2 linked regions of the Elephas maximus indicus genome follow. The protein of the gene in region 2 interacts with the protein of the main gene of each other region in a biochemical or structural test. Links are inferred from orthologs where the notes say so. Each region holds a gene or a part of one and is shown on either strand. Other genes may lie near its edges.

Evidence for each region. The genes of interacting proteins can lie anywhere in the genome.
Region 1: the proteins of PJA1 (region 2) and NSMCE3 form a complex in vitro, tested with the Homo sapiens proteins (2 studies listed by BioGRID). The link is inferred for Elephas maximus indicus from reciprocal best matches to the Homo sapiens genes PJA1 and NSMCE3.

The regions. Positions count from the first base shown.
Region 1 is NC_064831.1:94,935,999-94,942,976, reverse strand, and holds NSMCE3 (non-structural maintenance of chromosomes element 3 homolog), read right to left. Parts: upstream 2,111-6,978; 5' UTR 1,989-2,110; coding exon 1,101-1,988; 3' UTR 508-1,100; downstream 1-507. UniProt on the Homo sapiens protein: Component of the SMC5-SMC6 complex, a complex involved in repair of DNA double-strand breaks by homologous recombination. The complex may promote sister chromatid homologous recombination by recruiting the SMC1-SMC3 cohesin complex to double-strand breaks.
Region 2 is NC_064846.1:101,442,619-101,449,771, forward strand, and holds the start of PJA1 (E3 ubiquitin-protein ligase Praja-1), read left to right. Parts: upstream 1-4,143; 5' UTR 4,144-4,338; intron 4,339-6,393; 5' UTR 6,394-6,618; coding exon 6,619-7,153. UniProt on the Homo sapiens protein: Has E2-dependent E3 ubiquitin-protein ligase activity. Ubiquitinates MAGED1 antigen leading to its subsequent degradation by proteasome. May be involved in protein sorting.

The DNA of each region.
Region 1 (6,978 bases), on a different chromosome or scaffold from region 2:
AGCAGCTGAGCTCTTAACCACTGCACCACCACAGCTCCAGACCAAGAACAAAACACAAATTTTCAAAAAATTTAAGGAATAACAGCCAAAATCCTCCACGGCAGGCAGTGTGTCACATCTAATTATCACACATGATATATCCAACATCAGCCTCATTTTACAGGTGAGGAAACACCTATACCCAGGTTAAGTAACCCATCTAAGCTTTTACAGTTAGTTAGAGGTGGGGGCCAGGATTTGAACCCAAGCAGGCTGATTCCTGGTCAGGCCTGGTCAATCACTACAGTTTCACAAAGTCTTCTGTGACCCACAGTGAAAAGTGTGATGCACATTTACACACATTAAAGTGAAAGGTCTGTAAAACTCTACTCATGTTACTGTATGTAGCACAAACTGTCTTTTTCATTTCTATTTAAGATGCTGGTTTCCAGCCAAAATGAATTTCTCACGACACATGATTAAAAAAACACACACTGCTTAACTGCTTCAAAAATAGTGTTTATTACAGTAACAGTAATAGCGAAAAAGAAAAAAAGGATAAAATCTAAGTGGAACTTAACTGTCAGCAACCCAGCTAGATAATTACTATGAATATTATACAGAAAGATAAATATTTTCAGAGAAAATACTGAAGATATATTCCTTGGAACCACCAAAAATGCTTAAATACGTAAAACATATAAAAATACAATGACTGTGTTAAGGTAACAACAATACAGGCAATTACACTTTAATTTATAATGACTTTTTATTTTTCCCTTCAAACTGGGGTAAAGAGGCCAGAGAATACCTCTGTGGTTTTTTACTTGGCACCAAAGCAATTTACTGATGTGTTTTTTCTTACATATGTTTCAGAACAGGGCACGAAATGTTACGATCAGTTTTACGAAGTAGTAACATTTTCTTATATCAAAAAAATATAGACTATACAACAAAGCAAAGCAATTCCTTACACATGTAGATTTGGAACCAAGTAATTTAGCAAAATAAACACGAACACATCTTCGCAAGCTAGTCAAGCGTCACAGAACTATTTCCCACCCCCACCTCTTCGGCCTCGGATCCTCCTCCCAGGAGTCCCTCTGAGTCTACCTGGGACTTCACGAGGAGGGGGCTGGGACACCGGGCTGAGGTCTGGCCCTGGCCGCCTCGTCTGCCAAAGCCTCACAGTACTGCACGGGCCAGTCCTTGGGGTCTTGGTTATGGATTTTGGCCACAAACTTAAGGACTTTCATCTTGGTAGTTTCCAGGTTGGTGCGCGGGCCCCACTGCAATTCATAGTCCACAGGATCAGTGTGGGGTAACCGTCGGTACTCCAGGTAACGCTGGCGCACAAAGTCCTCGGTGATGAGCTTCTTCGGGTCCCCGAACACCGAATGCCTCTTGGTGGGGTGCACCCCTAGGCGCCGCAGGAAGTCCCAGACCTCCGTCTCCTTGATGGTGTGGCCCCTCATGAAGATGAGCCCCAAGACGATCATCAGCAGGCCGGCGCCGGGCGTGCCCTGGTCCCCTCTCACCTCCGCGTCCTCCTCCACCGGCTCCAGGGTGTTGACCAGGACGTACGTGCTGCTCTTGGGCTCCAGCTCCACCAGCCTGTACCCGAAGACGTACTCGAGGCGCTGGGCGGCGAGCCTGAGCAGGTCGGGGAAGACGTCCTTGTAGTCCCCCACGACGTGTCTCAGGAGCTCGGTCCGCTTGACCGGCATCTTCTTCTGGTCCTTAATCAGCAAGAACTGCACCAGCTCGGCCACCTTCACCTCCAGCTGCTTCTGGGACCTGGGCCCCACGGCGGGGGCGGCCAGGGCCGAGCGGGCGCCCGGGGACCCGGTGCCGGGGGCCTCCTGCGAGCCGCCCGGCCCGCGGGAGGTGCTCGGGGCCTCGTCGGCCGCGCCGCCCCGCGGGCGCCGGCTGTCTCCGCCGCGGCCGCCCTCCCGCTCCCGCTCCGTCGGGGCCCCAGGGCGTCCCCGGACCCTCGACTTCTGCAACATGCTATCTGGCTACTGAGGCCGGACGCCGGCTCGGACACTGGCCGCTAGCAAAGCTCCAGCGACCGGCGGCGGCGGGATCCCAGCGCGCGTGCGCGGGGCATTGTGGGTCGGCGTTATCCGCCTCGGGGCGAGACTGGGCGGGGCCGAGGGCGGAGCGCTGCGTCGGTGGGCGGGCCCGGGGCGGAGCCCTGCGCCGGTGGGCGGGTCCGGGGGCGGAGCGCTGCGTCGAGTCGGCGGAGTCTGCGCACTGCGTCCCGGACGTCCGCGGGCCGGCGGCGGCGGTTTCTGCGCAGCCGCGGGCTGTCTGCGGGCGGGAGCGGTGGCGGTTACTAGACTTAAACTTGTTGTCCGTCCTTACCGAACAACACAAATAGAGAACAGGACCGAAAGTCCTAAACAAGTGTGCTGCTGAATTCAGGACCAAACAGGTCCAGGCAAATTTAACAGGCTCTCTAGAAAAATTAAGAACTTTAAAGTCGGGAATATTTGTGAAAGGAGGGAACCCAAAGGATCAATGTAGGCGAAAATCGAGGTGAAGGGGAAGGTAAGGCCGTGAAAGGCAACCAAACCCGCTGAGACCCTGCCCATTCTGCCTCATAGCGACCCTACAGAACAGAGTAGAACTGCCCTATAGGGTTTCAGAGAAGCGGCTGCTGCATTCCAACCGCCCATCTCTGGTTAGCAGCCGAGCGCTTTGCCACTGCGCCACCAGGGCTCGGTGAAAGGTAGAGGAAAGACATGTATTTCTACAGGGAGGCGCAAAAAGAGTGAGCGAGCCTGAGGGCTTCTGATTTGCCTCAGGGAGGCTCTGACCTCGCCACTCCCTCCTCTGAGTCGGAATCGACTCGATGGCAGTGGGTTACCGGCGGTTGGAATCCACCAGCCGCTCCTTGGAAACCCCATGGGGCTGTTCTCTGTCCTATAGGGTCGCTAAGAGTTGGAATCAACTCCAGGGTGACGGCTTCTGTTGAACTATTACCGCTAGTTTCCTTCTCTAATGTCCCTAAGAGTCGATTAAGAACAAGTGTTCGGTAAAAGAAGGGTTTCCTCGAAAGTAGGAATTTTTCCTTCTTTTCTCTCTTTCAGTGTTCTCTATGTTAAATTACGTCAGCTAGACAATTATGACAAAACCACTACACAAAACCTGTTCAGTGCAATTTTTTTGCTTGGTCAGCTGAGTTTATCTTTTGGAAGGCACACGTTCATGTAAACTGCCTTGGGACCGCAAGGACAATTTTAGCAGAAATGGGTAAGAAGGATACTACGGAGAAACATACTCTGTCTGGAGATTACCATTTAATTTTGGGCATCACTGATCAAGAAATGCGATAATGTAAATCTCTTAAATTTCTGAAAAATAAATATATCAGCCTTCAGGCTCAATGAGAAAGAAAAGAGAACCCAGGGGTATCATCCCTCATAATCTATGATGTGTGTGCTGTGTGTATATATTTTAATTGTGCAACTCTTTAATAGCCAAAAAAGAGCCATTTCATTAACTTGAACCAGCAATTATGCCCCCATTACTTATATAGATCTTAGCAGTGTGTTCCTTCTTTATTTATGGACTTGTGAGGAAGAAACTGAATTTCCCTTTTGGCGTTTTTAAAGCTACTCTACAAAGTGGGTAAATTCTGTGAAGAACCAAATCACGTTGAGTTCCTCTTTAATGCAGATATATTCAAAGGAAAGCAATTCAGAACAGACTATTTGAATAATAATATCAAAACACCACCTTATTAAAATTTCATTAAATGTTAGTAGTATGAAATTTTTGTAATCCAATATGAAAATGCAATCTGATAAAGGCATTGGAATTGCAATACTAAATGTAAAATGATATTCCACGTTGTGATGCAAATATGCTACAAGTCTGGTAAGCTACTAGTAATAACTTTCTGTTCCACACAAGATCCAGCAACATATCCCCAAGAATCAATCTTAGGGAGGGACGCCTACTAAGAAAAACAGATCATCAAGCAGTCTTTTTTTTTTTTTTTTTTACAATGAGAAAATGCATCTGCTTCAAAGTTTCTTTGCAAATTAAAATTCAGACTCAAGTTCAAAGGAGTCTCCTATAATCTAGAATTCTACAGAATGTCTCTCCACAAGGATCAGCTGTATCCTGAGTAAAAAATTTCAGCAACCAAAAGATAAAGGAGAAATGGAAAATAAAAAGATGAAAGCCACTGTCGACAGCTGGGCTAGCTCTTCGGAGTTTGTTCTTGATAAGGTATTCGTTTAAATTCCCAAGCAGCCCCAGCTCTCAGGCTCCCCCATGACTCTGTGAACATTAGCACTGCCCTTCAGTGACCTCTTCCTCAGATAGCACATGGTCATTGCTCAGAATGGCTGAGAAAAGACACTACTTCTAAGTCTTAAAACACCTCTACCCTTCTTCCAGAAAAATACCAAGACCAAAACCATTGCCATCGAGGCAATTCCAACTTTTTTTTTTTTTTTTTATGGGACAGAGCAGAACTGCCACATAGAGTTTCCAAGGCTGTAATCTTTATAGAAACCCCATGGGGCAGTTCTACACTGTCCTATAAGGTCACTATGAGTCGGAATCGACTTGATGGCAGTGGGTTTGGTTTGGTTTTTTGGTTTAATCTTTATGGAAACAGACTGTCTTATCTTTGTTCTGCAGAGTGCCTGGTGGGTATAAACCAGTGACCTTTCAGCAGCCAAGCGCTTAACCACTTCATCATCAGGGCTGCATTCCAGAAAAATGCAGGTGACAAAATAGGATTTCAGGCACTGCAGAGAGAAGACATCCTCACCTCACCTCAGATAATTACTGAAGGCCATGGGTATTTGGGGAGAGACTGTGGTGGTGATGATGGCAATGAAAACACAGTAATGTACATGACGATAACTAATGATTGTAAAAAGGTATAATACGGTCAAACCCTGTTCCAGGTGATTTACGTGTATTCTTTTAATCTCCACAACCCAATGAGGTCTGCATTTGTTACCTTCCTCTTCACTCAGATGAAGAAACTGAGGCACAGAGAAGATTCAGCACTGTCTTAAGGTCGCACAGCAAATAAGCGGTAGATGTGGGATCTGAACTTAGGATTAGGATGTCTGCCTCCAGAGACTGATCTTATGAACCATATGTTGATGTAGAGAGAATATAGACATGATGTCGTTGAAAAAGTTAAGGTTTTGGAATCAGATGGACCTAGATTAAAAGCCTGTATGACACTGGAAGGCTACGGACACCCCAAGTTTCAGCTTCCATGTCAACCAAATGAGAGTAATAATGCTGGGTTCAGGTCATTAAGTGAAATGGGTTTTTGAAGCACCTCTCACAGGCCCTGGCAGAGTTGTCTGTAATGATTGGCTCCCTTCTGGGAGTCATGTTAAGGGAAATATTTGATGACTGCACAATACTGTACATAGAAAGATGTCTACTGCAGTGAAACGCAAATCAGAAAAACGTCTGGAAGAACACAGATGTGTATATCAAGGTGCTGTTAAAGTTATTTTAAAAATAAAATTCAATCGTGATTTTTTTGCTTGGGAGATAAATGAGAAATATATTTTTAATGAAGCTTAACTTCCCAGTGACATCATGGCATACCAGTCATGTACCTTCAGGGTGATCTGATAGGGCGTTTGTGGTTTCCTGTTCAGGCAGTGAAATATAAAGACAAGTGTTAAAAAATACTCAAACGCTCCATGCTTCTGGCCTTCATACTATTACTGTTGTTGTTGTTAGAAGCCATCTAGTCAATTCCACTCATGGCAACCCCGTGTATGCAGCATAGAACTGCTCTATAAGGTTTTCAAGGCTGTGACCTTTCCTAAGTAGATCACCCAGGCCTGTCTTCCGTGGCACCTCTGGGTGGGTTAGAACTGCCAAGTTTTCGGCTAGTAAATGAGCACTTAACTGTCTGCACTACCTAGGGCCTCCAGGCCCCCTCTCCCATGCGTATATTTTAATGGTTGGCAATAAAATCTCTCTTGATTGTATCTACTGGGTCCTAACAAAGATCTTCCTGGATTAGACCACATGATAGACTACCTAATATTTATCCCTCTTGGAAGAATATTTTAATTAAGCAGCAACAGTGCATTCCTTGTCTGGTGGAAGGCGTGGGGAGGTGGATTTTGATGAGACAGGGCATTTCCAAGCACTACAGCCATTTGGTTGGAAGCCTCTTCTTAGACTTTCTTTTTTGTGTGTGTGGGGCTATTTTAAACCTGTTATTGTTTTTTTAATACTGACATCATCTATATGACGAGATGATATTTAGCACACAAGGTTGTTTTGAGGAGAACATCTAGCACATAGTGTTTTTTTTTTTAAGCATACTTTTTTAAGTTTATGGAGAAAGTGTGCAGAAAGAACAGCGTTCCCTCATACACCCTTCCTGCCCTGCAGTTTCTCTTATTATTAACATCTTCCATTCCTGTGGTACAATTTTTAGAACTGATTAACCAATATTGACACATTATTATTAACTAAAGTCCATAGTTATCAAGTTTCACTCTTTGTGTTGTATAGTCCTATAGGTTTAGACAAATGCATCATGTCATGTGTCCCCCATTACAGTATCATATAAATAGTTTCACTGCCCTAAAAATGCCCTGTGGTCCTCCTGTTCATCTCTCCTCTACCCCTCACCCCCCAACTCCTGGCAACCATTGATCTGTCTCTTTCGTTTTGCCTTTTCCAGAATATCATATAATTAGAGTCATACTGTACGTAGCTTTTTCAGACTGGCTTCTTTTAGCAATATGCATTTAAGTTTCCTTCGTGTCTTTTTGTACCCTTGATAACTGTCTTAGTTATCTAGTGCTGCTATAGTAGAAATACCACAAGTAGATGGCTTTAACAAAGAGAAATCTATTCTCTTACAGTCTTAATAGGCTAGAAGTCCGAATTCAGGGCCTCAGCTCCAAGGGAAGGCCTTCTCTGTCGGCTCTAGAGGAAGGTCCTTGTCATTAATCATCCCCTGGACCAGGAGCTTCTCTGTGC
Region 2 (7,153 bases):
CTGCGGACTAGACATATTCACTTTTTTCTTTAAATTTTATTTATTTTGTTGTTGTTGTTGAGAATATACACAACAAAACATACACCAATTCAACAGTTTCTACACGTACCATTTAGTGTCATTGATTACGTTATTGAGTTGTGCAACCATTCTCACCCTCCTTTTCTGAGTTGTTCCTCTCTCATTAACATAAACTCACTGCCTCTTAAGATTCCCATCCAACCTTTCAAGTTGCTGTTTTCAATTTGATCCAATATAGATAGTACATTTTTTTTTTCAAAACAGACCTTTTTACTAGTTAAGCTAAACTATGGCTCGTTTTTAAGGTGATTCGCTTTTAAGAAGTAGAATATGGCAAAAGTGATGAGTGAAATGATACGGCTGCTGGGAAAAACAGTTTCCTCAAAAAGTTAAACGTAGAACTACTATATTACCCAGTATCTCAAACCTAGGCGTATAACCAAAAGAACTGAAAGCAGGAATGCAAACAGAGACTTGTACACCAATGTTCATTTTAGCACTTTTCGCAATAGCCAAAAGGTGAAAACAACCGAAATGTCCATCAAAGGATGAATGGATAAACAAAATGTGGTACATACATACAATGGAATATTACCCAACCATTGTTTAAGAGAAATGAAGACCTGATACACGCTGCAACATGGATGGACATTGAAAACATCATGGTGATCGAAATAAGTCAGTGGTAAAAGGACAAATACTCTATGATCTCACTTATATGAAATAACCAAAGATTACTAGTGGCTACCAGGGATGGGAGGGAAGGAAAAAGGGAGAGTTTTTGCTTAGGGGGGCATTGAGTTTATGTCAATGGTGGTGGAATAATTTGGAAAAAAGGTAACGAGAATAGTTGCGCGACTTGAAGAATGTAATCAGTGTTACTGAATTGTACATGTATAATTTATTGAGTTGGTGTATGTTTTACTATGTATATTTTCACCACAATTAAAAAAAAAAGTGATGGGATGTCATTTCCGAAATTAGGTTTTAAAAGACTGCGGGCTTCCATTTTAGGGCCTCTCTGCTTCCCTCTCTCTCACCAGCAGCTTTGTTGTGAGGCAGGAAGCCTATGAAGAGTCACAAGGCACAAAGAACCATGCACTAGGATGCTCTTTGAATCCTTACATATAATAGCACAAAACGGAAACAATTCAAGTAGAGGGAGAGACAAATAAATTGGAGAGTTTATACAATGGAAATCCATACGATAATATTTTATAGTAATAGCATATTGGGTAAGTCATACAATAGTACTCAACAGTTAAAATGACGAGCTCAATCTACATGTATCAAAAATGCTGTATTTCAAAAGAAATTGACTAAAAAAATAAATTTCAAAATGATATATTTATTACGATGCCATTTATGTAAACTAAAACACACAAAACAATAGTGCATTTTGCTTACTCTTATGTACATATGGAGAAAAAGAAAAAAACAGACAAGTAAGGTGAATAGGACGAAATGGGGGCTTCAGCTATAACATCGCGTTTCAAAAAAAGAAGGACCTGAAGATCGGAAAAAAAATAAAATTTTTACATTACTGTATGTTTGAAATATTTTTAATAAAAGAAAATGTATATTCTCAAGCACAAAAATACATATACATTAAAAAAATTTTTTAGATCAGTTTAATTGTGCTGTTCAAACTTTCTAGATCCTTATTTATTTTTCCAGTCTATTAGATCTACGGAGACCCTGGTGGCGTAGTGGTTAAGTGCTACAGCTGCTAACCATAAGGGTCGGCAGTTTGAATTCGCCAGGCGCTCCTTGGAAACTCTATGGGGCGGTTTTACTCTGTCCTATAGGGTCACTATGAGTCGGAATGCACTCAACAGCACTGGGTTTGGTTTTTTTTTTTTTTTTTAATTAGATCTATCGCTCTGGTTAAAGAGATCAACTGCTAACTGAAAGGTTGGTGGTTCAAAACCACGGGCGGCTCCTCGGCTCCTCCTCGGGGAAAAAGACGTGGCAGTCTGCTTCTCTAGAGATTTACAGCACTGGAAACCCTCTGGGGTCGCTATGAGTCAGAATCAACTCCATGGCAGTGTTTATATATACATATACACTGTCACGGATTGAATTATGTCCCCCCAAAAATGTGTGTATCAATTTGGCTGGGCCATGATTTCCAGGACTGTGTGTTGTCCTCCATTTTGTGATTATAATTTTATGTTAAAGAGGATTAGGGTGGGATTGTAGCACCCTTTTTTTACCCAGGTCACATTACTGATCCAAAATAAAGGGAGTTTTCCTGGGGTGTACCCTGCACCACCTTTAATCTCTCAAGAGATAAAAAGGAAAGGGAAGTAAACAAAGAGTTGGGGCCCTCATGCCACCAAGAAAGCAGCACAGGGAGCAGAGTGCATCCTTTGGACCTGGGGTTCCTGGGCCTGAGAAGCTCCTCGACCAGGGGAAGATTGATGACAAGGAATCTTCCTCCAGAGCAGACATAGAGAGAAAGCAGTCCCCTCGAGCTGACGCCCTAAATTTGGACTTGGAACCTACTAGACTGTGAGAGAATGAATTTCTCTTTGTTAAAGCCACGCACTTGTGGTATTTCTGTTATGGCAGCACTAGAAGACATATACCTAAAAGGGGTGTGGTTAAATGTCCCATGATAACTGCAGATTTCCTGATCTCCTTATATTTCTAGCAGTAGTTGCTTCATATATTTTGAAACTACATTCTTGGCACAAAAATTTAGTGACTATCATATCTTCTTAGTGAACAAAACCTTTCTTCTTTTCAATGCTTTTTACTTTGATTTCTTTTTCTGATATTAACATTGCTACATGTCTCTCTTTTGTTTGCTTGCTTGCTTGCTTATTTTGTGCTAGTACATAACAAGTATATATTTTTCTTTCCTATTTCTGCCTTAAGAACCCTGGTGGCGGAATGGTTAAGCAGTCGGCTACTGAGGGAAAGGTCAGCAGTGGCTCTGCAGGAGAAAAGAGCTGGTGATCTGCTCCCGTAAAAACTAAAGAAGAGGAAATCCTATGAGGCGGTTCTACTCTGTCATATAGGGTCACTACTAGTTGGAATTGACTCAATGGCACACAGCAGTGAAAATTCCTGCCTTAGGTGAAACTCACAATAAACATCCTGTCCTTTTGTTTTCTTTTCACATGCTTTCTTGTTGCCCCTCCCATTTCTTGCCCTTGGTTAGGCTGAGTTTTTCTCTTTGTTCCATACATTATTTCCCTAATGGTTTGAAAGTTATACAGCCTATTTCTCTTCTGTTGTTATCCTTAAATTTTTTGTTTTTCTATTATGAATTTTATTTCCAGTAAGAACAAAACTTCGCTACCCTTGTGAACATAGGAATTCTTCACATTTGATGCAAATGTTAGAGGTTCATTATAAAGTGCAATTTCATAAAAAGAGTTCAGAGTTCAGTAATATTGAATAAATCCAAAAAGCAGAGCTACGGTGTTTTTTTTAACTGCAATACAATTACCAGAATGTGAACCCATGTTGTGCTTCACGATCATTTCTTTTGGATAGAGATGCTTGATTTTGTGATTAACAGCAACAGCTCTTTACAAGAGCTTCAATTTAAAAATGTAAGCTTCCTGGAACCTTAAATATAGTTTCACATTTTTAATAGTTCCAATTCAAACCATAACATAGACCGTAGGATAACCCATTGCCATTGATGTCGAGTGGATTCCTACTCATAGCCACCCCACTGGAAAAAGCACAACTGCCCCAAAGCGTTTCCACAGCTGAAATCTTCAAGGAAGAGGTTGCCACACCTCCCGCAGAGTGCTGGTGGGTTCGAACTGTCGACCTTTCTGTTACAGCTGAGTGCTTAACCACTGCGACACCAGGGATCCTTCGACCATAGAATATGATATATTAATATGATTGCGTTCACATTGGAATGAATCAGAAACAATCTGAAAATTTTATCTTGTTAAAAAAAAAAAAGGGAACAGGGCTAAATGCTTAACATTTTAGAAATCTGGATTTTTACATTTTTCGCTGTCTGTATCTTTGACGATTCTTCATTTAAAATGAAATAATGCCTGCAGGCTCACCCCGATTTGTCCAGGGCTGCTGCGGCCCCCGCCACATCAAGGGGGCGGGCTCCAGTCAACGCCACAATCACTTCCGCCGCCTCAGCCGCCGCCGCCGCCACCGCCACCACCGCCGCCGCCGCTGCCGCCACCGCCACCACCGCTGCCGCAGCACGTCCCCGCTGCTGTCTGGCGGGTTGGAGCTGGAGACCCAGGAGCAGCGGCTCTGGCGGTCGTGGCGGTCGGAGGTGCGACAGCTCTGTTGCCCCGAAGATCTTGCGGGTGTCCGGACTGGGTGAGTAAAGGGCTATCTATGTCCTCGGTCCATCTACAGGCTGGCAGTAGGTGAGTGGCCAGCCATGGGGGCGAGTGGCTGGGCGCCGAGGCGAGGATTTTGGGGGGTTCTAGCGAGCGGGTTTTCAGGTTCGCCCCCTCGGGAAGGGGTGGGGCGGACGCGGGACCTGACTGCAGAGTGAGGCCTGTGTCCTCCATCAGCCTGTTCAGGGGCTCCATCTTGCATTTCTCATCCCTGGTGGCGTAGCCTCCGCTCGAATGGCTCTAATCGATATTTGAGAGGGGGGGTGGTGGTCTCTGCCCTCTCCCACTTCTCTCCTTCGCGTCCTCTGTTTCCTCTCCTCCATCCCTTTGCAGAATACCCCATGGCCTGTCTTCCTCCATTTGCCTGTTGTTTTGCGAAATGGTAAATGGTTAAGATTGTTTTTAGGTAAAAAATATCTTTCTCAGGGAAGGAACTGTCAGAAGAAAAAAAATATTCCCAGGGAAAAACTATAGCCAGCCCTTTTCTCCCCGCCCCCCCACCCCCAATTCCCTGCCGTTTGAGCTGATAACGTTTTCCTCTCGTTTCCCGTTATGACATTGCTGGCCCCCTTCTCCTCCCCATTTCGAGCTGCTGCATACGCACACAGAAATCTTCCATTGCAGCCCCTTTCCCCTTTATACTCTAGGTTCCAGCGCTTTCCCTCTCCTGCACATGCGTAGGGGTGTGTGTGTGTGTGTGTGTGTGTGTGTGTGTGTACACACACTTATATGCATGTATTTGTGTAATACGTATACATACACCCACGCACTCTCTCTCTCTGTCTCATACACACACTCTCTCCCCCCACTTCCAGCCCCTCACTGCCTGCCACATACACACCTCCAGGACCTCCTCTCTTTGCATCTGTGTGCTCTAGCAAACACACACACACACACACTCACTCTCTCTCTCCCTCCTCCTCCCTCCTTCCCTCCCTCTCCCTCTCTCCCTCCCTCTCCCTCTCTCTCTCTCTCTTACCCGCACACACCCTCTCCTCTCCGCGGCTGCCACATACGCACATGAGACACCTGTCTATTGCTGGCTCTTCTTTTGGATGCCCCTTACATACATATACTCTCACACACACCTTTCACACAACCCCCTCAAGTGCTCTCCTCTCCTGTTCCCTTGTCTCCCACATTTGTGCGTAGACATCCCTCATCTGCTGGTCCTCACGGGTGCACACACTCACACTTACATAAATCTTTCTCTAGGGACACCACCCCCCTCCCTGCTTGCTATAGTCACACAAACAGACATTCTTTGTTGTCCTTGTTCCACTCATCACACACACTTCCCCTCTCCAGGGCCACCCCTTGCCTGCTGCATTTGCTCGCACTGATGTTTCTCCATTGCTGCCTCCCATTTTGACAAACACTCACACAAACTCATCGACACCACCTCCAGTACTACCGTACCCTTCCTTGCCTGCCACATACACTGGAACACACGCATCCCCCCATACATATCCACCTGCCACACATGCAGCTACACACACACACACCCACACACTCTTTTTTCTCTCGTACTTACACAGACCCCTCTTCTCTGAAGCCACCCCACCCATGCCTGTCATTTTCACACCCACATCCAGAGTGAGTATTATTCTGTCTGACACTCACATCCCTTCCCAGTGCATCTGTTGCCTGCCCCTCCTCACTGCAGACAGACATCCATCCCTTCATGGTGGGATTGCTGGCCCACCTTCCACCTGCCCCTTTCCTCCTGACAGGCACGTACACACATACTCGTGCACGTGCACACACAGTGATCCATATCTTCCACTCTATTCCAATTCGCATTTCTCCTATATGTCTGCAGGGTCAAAAAAATGCAGGCACCCCATAAAAAATAAACAAAACAATAACCATAGCGGTCTTTCTTCTGCCCACATTGGTACAGTTCCACAGTATTTCACCCGCCTTCCAAATGTCCAGTCTCCCCCACCTTCTGTCGATTCTCTTTTTAAGTCTGGCTTTCCTACAAACGCAGTTTTGTAATCATTTTGCCAACATTAAAAATGTGTTCCAGGTCTACACACCTGACAGTCACTGGAATGCTACTCCAGGCCTTAGAAGAAAGTGAAACTAATTTTAAAGGCCCCGTATTCTTTCTGTTACCTGCCTGCTGAAGTGAAAATAAATCTCCTTGCTCCTTTTATTCTGAACTGATTTGACTGTCCCATCTCAAAAGCGTGTGCAAGGAGCAGCAGGACCCACGCGCCAGCTGTACTGGAAACCTTCCTAAGTCAGAGCAATGGGTCAGGAATCTAGCAAGCCTGTATGGCCCAAACCAGCAGGAGGGTATCAGTCCAATACAGGCAGGAGATATGGAAGAAGGCATGCTTATGTCAGTTTCAGGCCATCCGCGAGCCAGCAGGAAAGAATTTCCAGCCAGAGAAAGACGGCATCTGAAGTCCCGATGCCCGGATCAGCCCCCAGTCAAATCACCAAGAGAAGCCGATCACCATTTTCTGCCACTCATCGTAGCTGGGATGACAGTGAGAGCTCAGGAAGCAGCCTGAATGTTGATAATGAGGACTATTCCAGATATCTGCCAAGAGAGTACAGGGCTTCAGGTGGCAGAAGAGGAATGGCTTATGGACATATTGACTCCTTTGGGGCTGATGATAGTGAGGAGGAGGGGGCTGGGCCTGTTGAGCGACCACCAGGAAGAGGGGAAACTGGAAAGTTTAAAGATGATAAGCTGTATGACTCAGAGAAAGGGGCAAGGTCTTTGGCTGGGCAGCCACCACAGTTGTCTAGTTTTAACCATGATGTGAGAGAGGAGA